Linked DNA regions of Sus scrofa. The protein of the gene in region 1 interacts with the protein of each later gene in a biochemical or structural test. Links are inferred from orthologs where the notes say so. Each region holds a gene or a part of one and is shown in the gene's direction. Other genes may lie near its edges.

Region 1 (5,859 bases):
TTTGTCTCTTGCTTATTAGTAAACGTCCTCATCTGTGAAATGGAGCTGACAAGTGTCTTCTCATAGAATTATGAAATAATGACATATAAAGCTGAAGCTCAAAGCATAGTGTCTAGCACATACTAAATGTTAGGTACTATTGTAATTTACATATTATAATTCTTTAAAAACCTTTTTTTCCCCCCCTCTCTAGGCTATGGTGAACTAAATGGTAATGCTGGAGAAAGAGAAATTTCTTTAAAGAGCCTGGGTTCTGATGAAGCTACCAACCCTATTTCCAGGGTACTCAATGGCAACCAACAAGTTGTAGACACTAACCTGAAGCAGACTGTAAGGTCCAGCACCTTTGGGAAAGCAGGAATTAAAACCAGGAATTTCATTCAGAAAAACAGTATGGACAAAAAGAATGGAAAGTCTTATGAAAATAAATCTGGAGAGAACCAATCTGTAGACAAGACTGATGCTGTAGCAATTCCAAATGGTGTTGTAACAAATAATTCTGGCTATATTACTAATGGTTATATGGGCAAAGGAGCAGATAATGATGGTAGTGGATCTGAGAGCGGATATACCACTCCTAAAAAAAGGAAAGCTAGGCGCAATAGTGCCAAGGGTTGTGAAAACCTTAATTTAGTGCAGGACAAAATAATGCAACAAGAGACCAATGTCCCAACCTTAAAACAGGGACTTGAAACTTTCAAGCCTGACTACAGTGAACAAAAGGGAAATCGAGTAGATGGTTCAAAGCCCATTTGGAAGTATGAAACTGGGCCTGGAGGAACAAGTCGAGGAAAACCTGCTATGGGTGATATGCTGAGGAAAAGCTCTGATACTAAACCTGGTGTGAGCAGCAAAAAGTTTGATGATCGGCCCAAAGGAAAGCATACTTCTGCTGTTGCCTCCAAAGAGGACTCGTGGACCCTATTTAAACCACCCCCAGTTTTTCCAGTGGACAATAGCAGTGCTAAAATAGTTCCTAAAATAAGTTATGCAAGCAAAGTTAAGGAAAACCTCAACAAAACTGTACAGAACTCTTCCGTGTCACCATCTTCATCTTCATCTTCATCTTCTTCGTCATCAGCTGGGGAAACTCAGACCCAACCTTCAAGTCGATTATCCCAGGTCCCTATGTCAGCGCTGAAATCTGTTACTTCGGCCAACTTTTCTAATGGGCCAGTTTTAGCAGGGACTGATGCAAGTGTATATTCTCCAGGGGGTCAGCCACTGCTAACTACTGCTGCTAATACTCTAGCACCCATCTCCTCTGGGGCTGATTCAGTTCTCCAAGACATGAGTCTGACTTCAGCAGCTGTTGAACAAATTAAGTCCAGCCTTTTTATCTACCCTTCAAATATGCAAACTGTGCTGTTGAGCACAGCACAAGTGGATCTACCCTCTCAGACAGATCAGCAAAACCTGGGGGATATCTTCCAGAATCAATGGGGTTTATCATTTATCAATGAGCCCAGTGCTGGCCCTGAGACTGTTATTGGGAAATCATCAGATCATAAAGTGATGGAGGTGACATTTCAAGGGGAATATCCTGCCACTTTGGTTTCACAGGGTGCTGAAATAATCCCCTCAGGAACTGAGCATCCTGTGTTTCCCAAGGCTTATGAGCTGGAAAAACGGACTAGTCCTCAAGTTCTGGGTAGCATTCTAAAATCTGGGACTACTAGTGAGAGTGGAGCCTTATCCTTGGAACCCAGTCATATAGGTGACCTGCAAAAAGCAGACACCAGTAGTCAAGGTGCTTTAGTGTTTCTCTCAAAGGACTATGAGATAGAAAATCAAAATCCTCTGGCGTCTCCTACGAACACTTTGTTAGGCTCCGCCAAAGAACAGAGATACCAGAGAGGCCTAGAAAGGAATGATAGCTGGGGTTCTTTTGACCTGAGGGCTGCTATTGTATATCACACTAAAGGTAACTCATCTGTTTCTATACGAAGATTCTTACTGATTATTTTAACATACATTTATTGGCTGTTCTATTAAGGGTGAATTTTTGAAGTTATGATGAGCTTAAGAATTCCATAGTTTAGTTGAGAATAACAATGTGGATTAGCAGCTGATACCAAACTCTAAGCTCCGGGTCTTTGTAAATACTATGGTAAAAGTATAAATTTTTTCTTGAAACAGATGTTCCCTCTCCTTTGCTTTTTATACTATATACTTCTTTATTAGAGAGCTCACTTTGATAGTTCTCATTTCCTTAAAACGAGCAAGAGCAGTATTTTAGAGGAGTCCAAAGAGATGGCGGGTCGATTTTTTTTCTCTTATTTAATCAAACTACAATGGCAAGTACAATTAGCATTGTAGGGACCAGGCTTTTGGAGTCTGCACTTTTTTTCATAGCCTCAAAGCCAGCATTAAAAAGGAATTGGATAGGAGTTCCTATCCTGGCACAGTGGAAATAATCTGACTAGGAACCATGAGGTTGCAGGTTCGATCCCTGGCCTTGCTCAGTGGGTTAAGGATTAGGCATTGCCATGAGCTGTGGTGTAGGTTGCAGACGTGGCTCAGATCTGGCATTGCTGTGGTGTAGGCCTGCAGCCATAGCTCTGATTAGACCCCTAGCCTGGGAACCTTCATACGCTGTGAGTGTGGTCCTAAAAAGCAAAAAAAAAAAAAAAAAGGAATTTGATGTCTTTAAAATTCCATGTTAATAGCTTTCTTAGGATACGATTTATTCAAGTCTTAAAAACTTGCTGTATGGCATAACTAGTTTAAATCCTTTAAAACAATGTTTTTTTGTGTCATGAATGTTGACATGATTTTACAAGCACCTCTTCACTTTCAAGAACAGTGGTTATCAGTTTTCCTTCTCAGTCTCCCCAACCTCCCCTAACAGCTCCATATGTGTGCATGCATGCACACCTAACATATAGTGCACGTATATATCGCTTTTTTAGCAACAGCTCAGGCAGTGATACGCAACTGCAGGGAAGAGGCAGCATGTTATCAGATAGTAGAGATGAGGTAATTATGTTTTCCCTGGAAGAATCACTGTCTCATAGATGAATAACAAAGCAATTCCTGTGATTTAAGCAAATTACCTGGTCTCCATACCTTTGTTTATCTGCAGACTAAGATGTTTAGTAAAATAGATAACCCTTTAAATTTTTTTGCTTTAAAAAATGGGAGTAAAGGAGTTCCCTGGTGGTGCAGCAGGTTAAGGATCTAGCATGGTCACTGCTGTGGCTCGGGTTTGTTTTTACTTTTCTCCAGCACTGCTCTTTGGAAGTAAATGTGAGTTAACCAGGAGCCAGATACTTTTAGGAGAGTTAGAGTAAAAAAATACTTAAGTTTCTTAAGACATTGCTTAATTAAAAGTTAAGTTCTGTCAGGGGAAGTTTATAGTGTTTTTGATGTTACTTTCTGTGCCATCTTCCCTCCAGAGATCATTATACTTTATTAAAGTATGTTATACTGGTGATGGTTGCCTGAGCCTGAGGATATCTGGTTGTCCCACAACCTGGAAAAATCCTGGGGCAAGTTGTTACTAGGTTCTTGGTTGGTGGTTTAATGTGTGATTATTATGGAGAAATGCAGGTCTTTTTAAATGGGACATTCCTATTTATCTTCAAGTATTCTGTATGCATTTGCCCTGTTGGTAAGCTAACTAAATATAAAATAAATCAGTGGTATTTAGTTAAACCAAATGCCCCTACCTAGATGCAGTTGTGTTTAGTTTTGCTGATGTTACTGAAAGATTTGCTTTAGTAAAGTCTTATCACGTTGAGTTGTGTAGTTGAACATTACTGGGATGAAATTGGTATTGTTTGTTTTTTCCTCCCTAGAACAAAAACAAATAATAGTTCAGTTAGGTCCCAGAGTGGCAGTTCTTTGAATTCCTGCTGAATGTAGATTGGTCCATTAGGTCACTAATTTTTCCTTTATTTAAATTTGCTTTGAGTCATAGTCTTTTGAGGATAGAAAGATCTTTTTCTTCAACGAAGGCTTGCCTCTTTTTTTTTTTAAGTTTTCTTAGGTGCTAAAAGGTAATAACCAATAGGAATTATTGGAATATCCTTTAAAAGAACACCTCGTATTTTTTTGTTGGTGGCTTAGTGTGGTCTTTAAATGTTTAAAGTAATTTCTTAGTAAGTTGAATGAAGTTAGGCTTAGAATGGAAAGTTCTGTGCATACTTGCTGACTTCGAAAATGAGCTGTTTAGCAACTTTATTTATGCATTATGTCAGTTTAATAGTAATGGTACATTTTTTAGATGAAACATTAATTACTTGCAGCCTTAAACATTACAGCAGATTTAAAAAAATTTGAATTCAGTTTACTTGATAAGAAATGAAGATACAGTGAGGCATTAAAAAAAAACTGATGGGAATTCTTGTTTTGGGGATTTTCTTTTACAACTTTTGATATAAATATGCCACTAACTTTTATTAAGAAGTAAGTGCAGTTGTGGCTCACCAGTAACGAATCTGACTGGTATCCATGAGGATGTATGTGGGTTTGATCCCTTGCCTTGCTCAGTGGGTTAAGGATCTTGTGTTGCCGTGATCTGTGGTGTAGGTTGCAGGCACGGCTCACATCTAGTGTTGCTGTGGCACAGGCTGGCAGCTACAGTTCCAATTCAACCCGTGGCCTGGGACTTCTCTATGCCACAAGTGTGGCCCTAAAAAGCACACACAAAAAAAGAAGTAAGACCTAATTTTTGTGTTTTCTTTTTTCTTTTTCTTTCTTTTTTTTTTTTTTTTTTTTTTGTCTTTTTGCCTTTTATAGGGCTATTCCTGAGGCATATGAAGGTTCCCAGGCTAGGGGTCTAATAGGAGCTGTAGCTGCCGGCCTACACCAGATCCACAGCAACTCGGGATCCTTAACCCACTGAGCAGGCCAGGGATCAACCTGCAACCTCATGGTTTTTAGTCGGATTCGTTAACCACTGAGCCACAACAGGAGCTCTAATTTTGTGTTTTCTGGGGGAATATTGTACCATTACATAACTGTATCAGTATTTAAGGTAAGAGGTCCTCTTTTCCTATTTACCTCTTGACACTGAGGTAAAAACTTTTAAAGTAATCTTTCAAAATTAATTATGGAAAACTTAAGTATGTAGGAGTATAAATATATGTATATATAAAAATGGAGCCAAATAACATAATGGACCCATCATCTGGCTTGAACATTTTAAAAAAACATATCTTCATGAGAGTTCCCTTTTGGCTCAGTGGTTTAAGGTGGTATTGTCACTGCTGTGGCACTGATTACAGCTCTGGCTCCGGTGTGATCCCAGTCATGGGAAACTTCTGCAAGCAGAGAGTGTGACCAAAAAAACCCCACAACAACAAAATTGTCATTTTTTTGATTTATCCACTTTCATACACTTTGGAGTTTTAAAAAGCAGATTCTAGGTATCATAACATTTTACTGGCTGATACTTTGGGTTACGTTACAGTGATGGCTTTTAATGTACATACCCAGGACGTAACCCTTGTCACTTTCAGAGTAATTATTCACAATGCATAGTTAGTAGAACTTCGATTTGTTGTCTTAGTCTTAGAACACTAGATCATAATTTTCTAAGGTGATGTTTTTGATTTTGAAGTGGTCCAAAGTCATTTGAAGCCACATCTTTTGAAGTAAAATTGGTGTGAGTTGTGTGTTTGGTTAAAGTATTAATTTAAGCCAGTTAATTTATCTTGCCTGGCTAATATTGCACTAAAGAATATAGGGCATTCAAAATGCTGACATTTTGAAGTATTCATTAAATCATTTGATATGGTGAGTTTTACCCAGCACATAGCTACACAGGGGAGAGAACTAGTGTAAGATTTAATTGTTGATGGTTGGGATGAGTCAAAATGAAAGCTGTGTAGTATAGAAAATATTCCTGAGGTA
Region 2 (5,859 bases), on another chromosome or scaffold:
AAAGTAGGTATAGAATGGTTTTATTTATTTACCAAAAATTTACTCAGTACTTATCAGGTGAAAGGAACTGGGCTTGGTTTTGTGAGGGGTCCTAGGAGGGACACAACTTCTGTCTGTGCCTGAGGACCTTTTGCAGTTCACTCCCCCAGGAGACTGCAAGCTTCCTGAAGTTAATCAAGGACCAGGACTTGTGGCCTGTCTGTATCACAGGTCCTCATAATAGCATTTGGATGGATAAAGGGGACCATTTTTTTCCCTCTCAACTGAGTCAGGTGGCAAACCAGTGAGATGCTGTTGCTACAGTGACCTCACTAATGGTTAACACATAACTGAGGTTATCACTGGCTAGAGCAGAGCTGAAAGGAATTGATGATTACAGGAGAGAAATGTAGGTTAAGTCTAGTTGTATTTAGTCACTGTATTGCATAACCATTACCCTTAGGTCTTTGGGTCTGTCTGTACCAGGAATGTTCATGATAGTGATGGATAAAGGGGACTTCCCCCCCAACTTTAGTCACGTGACAGATGGGACCCAATGAAACGCTCTTGCCAGGATGACCTCATTGCATTACATAACAATTAACAAATAACGGAGATTATTTCTATGGCTAGAGCAGAGGTGTACAGAAGTGGTGGGAGCAAGAGGGAAAGGTAGGTCAAGTTAAGTTGTATTTTGTCACCACACTGTCTAACTATTGGCTTCAGTAGTAAAAGCGAGATGGGAGTTGGAGCCTTGAGTGATTTGCCTTCTTTCCTGTCCTCTCCTCCCCGTCCGCCTTGCTCTCCCTCCGTCTTCTTTCTGCTTCTGAGTATGTGTCTGTCTCTCCGTCTGCTTCTGAGTATCTGTGTTGTCTCTTTTCCTGTTACCTTTGATTTGCCAATATCTCACAAAAGGTTCCATGCTGCACACTTTGAAGGGGTCGCCAGAGGCATCACTTTAGAAGAACTGATCCACAGTGTGTAGGGCAGGAAGGTGGTATCCGAAGGCTTGCCAGCGTGAAGTTGTCCATTTCAGTGAGGAGGGGACAGGAGACCAGAGAGTGACCAAGGATTTATCTGTTTAGTTCCCAGGAGACGGAAATGCCAGAGTGGTATTCTTAATGGGCTGGGTAGTCAGTGGCCTTAGCCATTAGTGACCATGCAGTCAGGCAGTAGGCTGGGGACAGTGACTTCCAGTCTGTTATGTGCTTATTAGAGTAAAACAAAAACAAGTTTGTCTACATTTTTAAGATACATTTTCATAGCTCACAAGGTATCCAAGGAAAGTATGCACAGGTTTAGGAATGGTCAGCTTTTCTTGAGCATTCGTATTCAGAGTACTGACCGTCACTGAGGTAGCACAGAGAAATAGGAAAGCACTTTTTACAGGCCTCTCCCCGGTAATCAGGGAGTTTCTGAGTGTGTGTGTGTCTGTCTGTCTGTCTAGAAGTACGGGTGCATTCTGCTTTAAAGTATAGAGCATGTGGGTTTGGAAGATACCTAAGGTCATTTTAAGAAATTTTCCTTGATGTCTGATAATTTGTAGATTTTTGAATGATGTTAATCATGAAATATTCTATGTTGTAATTTTTGTGTAGGTTTATTCCAGAGCAAATGAAAAAGAGCCTTGCTGTTGGTGGTTAGCTAAAGTGAGGATGATAAAGGGTGAGGTAGGAAAATGCCTATTTAAATTCTTTTTCATATGCTATTTCTCTTTTCTAAAGCCAGGTATACTGCATTTCAGTCTGGATTTCTATGTTTAAGTAACATCTTACTTGAGTCATTTTATTAAAATGATTACATGTTTAGTCCATTTGATGTATTGCATTTAGGTGATCAGTTTTTTTTTCCCCCCTCTGGAGAATTTAGAAATAATGAAATAGGTATAGCTTCTTATTCTTACTTTAAGCGCTATGACCAGGAATGACTTGCACTTATTTCTCTCAGTTTTACGTGATAGAATATGCAGCATGTGACGCTACATACAATGAAATTGTCACAATTGAACGTTTACGATCGGTTAATCCCAACAAACCTGCCACAAAAGATACTTTCCATAAAATCAAACTGGATGTGCCCGAAGATTTACGACAAATGTAAGTTGGCTGAGAACTTAAAGATGCTATGCAATTTATTTAAAAAATATTATTTTAAAACAATAGCAAATAAATTTGTAAATTCAATGGAACTTTGGCAAAATGGTTTGCGAAAATAGTGGGGGGAAAAAACGTATTTAGCTTTTTCCAGTTATGTGATCAAGCCAGCATTCCACCTATTTAAACTTCCTTGGCTAGATCCATGGCTAATGTACCTTTGTTTTCTAAAATAAGCATTGTTCATAGAATTTTAAGATTTTAGAACTGATTAATACAGATATTGTATCCTAAGTCACCAATCAATTTCTGGACAGTGGAGCTTCCTCCATATTTCTTCCCCTTTAGCTAGTATTTTCAGATAAATATGTAACAAGTAGAGCTAAAGCAGATTTAAAAGGTCATCTGTCTTATAATCCTTGAACTGAAATAATGCGTAAAGACGTTTTGGAGCAGAAATTCCTTTATAAAGATTTCGTCAAGAGCTTGTATTAAGTTTGATTTGGACATGTCACCGTTTAGAGAAATATTACATAGAAATCCTGCTTCTTAATTATAGAGATTGCGTATGTATGTTTGTGCCTTCTGATTTATATCCATGTCCTTTTCTCTCCCTTAAATCGGTCAGCAGTTTTTCATTAGATGAGAAACAACAAAACAAAATTGGGTGCCCTGTAGCTATCCCCAAAAGTTCTCAGCATTGCCTCAAGAAAATTAGTGACCTACCTGTTACTGAATCAGGAAGCCTGCAGAGGAGAGTGGCCACCCCCCAGAGCTGTCACCTTTGGTAACCTAAGACCATCACCAGTAATCCCTTAAGAACAGAAATGGTTTTTTCCTTTCTCTATAATCTATATTGCTTGTTTGGGCTGAGTATTTCAGAGAGGTACAGCAAAAGAACTCAACTTTTACATGTGGATATAGCGTATTTTGCATTAATCAAGTTTAGTAAGAGTCAACAGTTTTACTTGGAGCAAATGTCTCTGTGTATATTTGTACCAGTAGTTGGTAATCATTCATCTTAACTTCACAATGGATGTTCTTTTTATTCCTAGGTGTGCCAAAGAATCGGCACATAAGGACTTTAAAAAGGCAGTTGGTGCCTTTTCTGTAACTTATGATCCAGAAGGTTATCAGCTCGTCATTTTGGTGAGTGTTTTTGAGTGGTCTACCTCGGTGTATTTCATTTAGGGCATTTGCTTTGATAGTGATGGTATTGATTTATACCCTTTAGTCTATCAATGAAGTGACCTCGAAGCGAGCACACATGTTGATTGACATGCACTTTCGGAGTCTGCGCACTAAGCTGTCTCTGATACTGAGAAATGAAGAAGCCAGTAAGCAGCTAGAGGTATGTGGCTTTCCCTAGTGCTACTTGTAAGACTATCTGGAAGTGATAACTGTGTGGTTATAAAACTTGAATGTGGGCAGCTTGTCCTTTATTTACTGTTTCTTAGCAATTCATTATATTCTGTATTTTGAAAAATTAAATTGTACAAAGCATAATCATACTAAAGTTTTGTGCCTGAGGTTTCAGAATTAGCAGCAGTTTATGTATGTTAAGGAACTTCTGGCCAACTCACTTTTTACCAGAAGTTCATCAATGCTGCTAATAAAATGAAGCAGTGCTTCTTCCGTAAAACATGTTATCATTAAAGTACTAGAGAGTATTTAAATATCTAATCATATTCCTTTCATTATGTATGTTTATCTCTGTTTAAAAGGGTATAGAACTTCTTCATTCTAATTGGTTGTCACTCTTTAAAACTCCTGTCTTCAGATTCCTGCCAGAGGCTATTTCCCTAACTTACTATTTCGTCTCTTAAGGTGCATTTTATCTACTTTTATTAATCCTCCAATAATTTCCATCACCATACATTTATTTTCATTGATAACTATTTAGTACTTCCATCCATTGCCGTAGAAATTAAATGGATTTTAGTTTAATGTGCCAACACAAGTATATTGCTCTCGGATTCCGGAGTTCTTCATCATTATTCATTTCATTAGAGGGAAAACACCATGCAGTTGAAATAGTAAAGGAGAAAAGGAGTTCCTTCCCAACTGAATTTTAAAAAGAAAAGGTGACCTACTACTAAGGGCTGTATTTTTGTAAAACCCTGTGAAACTTGCCACCTTCCAACTTAATATGTGATTGCTGAACTCTCAGCAGGAGAGGAGACATTCACATCTCCTTTTGCTATATCTCCTTTTGCTCCTTTGTTTTCTTTATGACCATGGAGGTCTGTTGAATTGGTTTTTACTCTCATTCTTTCTTGATGTCCCTGTGTTCACCAGTTTGTGGTTTCTTTAGTGATTCTCTCATAACTTTTTAGGCCAGAACAGCCTCCTTACTTTCATTGTGAGTATTATGGAAATATACTCATTTACCTCTTTTTGAACATCTAATGCTGCTTAAATCTGTTAACGTACCCTTGGCTTATCATTGACCAGTGAATTATCAATGAAAAGAATGAACCAGGTCTCAAAAAACACGACCTCTTGATAAGTCTCAGGAATATTTGATACATTTTGTTTCTCTAATCTGCAAAAAAGGTATTATACTTTTAAAATTGTTTACAGTAGTTACACTCATTCATTCAAATTATCAGGTATGTTAATGAGAAACTAGTGTGCATGCCTCTCTTTCGTCACTACTAATATTAAAGAGATCTGCATATTCAGAAAAGAAATTTCCATTTTTCAACATGAGCCACTAATATGTTTGGTTTTCATTAATGGCATGCTAGAACTAAACATTAAATTTTGATAATACTGTTTAAAGAGCGTGATTATCCACAAGTTTGAGGTGTTAGTATAACCTAGTTCAGTCATTGCTGAATATTTGAAAGAATTCATCATACTTGTGGATCCAGATCACGAGGTCTTACAGACTCTGATCTCATTTTAGGTTGTAGACACATATGTAAGTTGTAAATCTTTGGCACTCTGTAATCACTCAGTTTAATTACTGTAGCAGTAATTTTTCTGATTTCTTTACTTGGGTTGGGGGTGGGAGGGAGGGTGTGTTTTTAATGTTATCACCTCGTTAGAGAGATGTCTAGACCACGGTATCTAGTGATAAAAGTTATGTAAAGGGCACTGTTTCTAGGGGAAAATATATACACACATGCACCTGCATATCCTTTAATAAAAATGAAATGAATACAACTTTCTGTAAAGATGGTATTTAACATTTCTTTAACTTCATTAATATGGAGTCTGTCAGACCCAGTGAGCTGGTTGTTATTTGGGAACATTTGATCTGCTTCTTAATTATTACATTGATGTCATTGGTAAACTAAGGCAACCTTGCAAATAGGTTTTCAGAAGTTACCTTGGAAAATTGTCAACAAGCCCTTTCCTATTAACAAAAATATATCAAATGGCATAGACCTTCAGTAACCTAAAAAGTATTGCTGTTGTGTGAAATATTTTCTGAGACCTGTTAGTTTCCAACTGAAACTAATTATAGGCCCCTGATCTACAGGGTCAAGATCATTTACATGGCTGACCTAAATACAGTTGTCTTAGGAGTTGATAAAGCATACTAATCAGATGTGCATTTCTCTTCAGAGTTCAAGGCAACTTGCCTCAAGGTTTCATGAACAGTTTATCGTACGAGAAGATCTGATGGGTCTAGCTATTGGTACTCATGGTGCTAATATTCAGCAAGCTAGGAAGGTACCTGGGGTCACTGCTATCGATCTCGATGAAGATACCTGCACGTTTCATATTTATGGAGAGGTAAATAGTTTACTAACTAAATAGTTTTTTTTTTTTCCTA

The links. The genes of interacting proteins can lie anywhere in the genome.
Region 2: the proteins of NUFIP2 (region 1) and FMR1 form a complex in vitro, tested with the Homo sapiens proteins (2 studies listed by BioGRID and IntAct, with this or other methods). The link is inferred for Sus scrofa from reciprocal best matches to the Homo sapiens genes NUFIP2 and FMR1.

The regions. Positions count from the first base shown.
Region 1 is NC_010454.4:45,495,110-45,500,968, reverse strand, and holds part of NUFIP2 (nuclear fragile X mental retardation-interacting protein 2), read left to right. Parts: intron 1-193; coding exon 194-1,924; intron 1,925-5,859. UniProt on the Homo sapiens protein: Binds RNA.
Region 2 is NC_010461.5:120,376,852-120,382,710, forward strand, and holds part of FMR1 (synaptic functional regulator FMR1), read left to right. Parts: intron 1-1,577; coding exon 1,578-1,649; intron 1,650-1,926; coding exon 1,927-2,075; intron 2,076-3,127; coding exon 3,128-3,221; intron 3,222-3,306; coding exon 3,307-3,423; intron 3,424-5,648; coding exon 5,649-5,819; intron 5,820-5,859.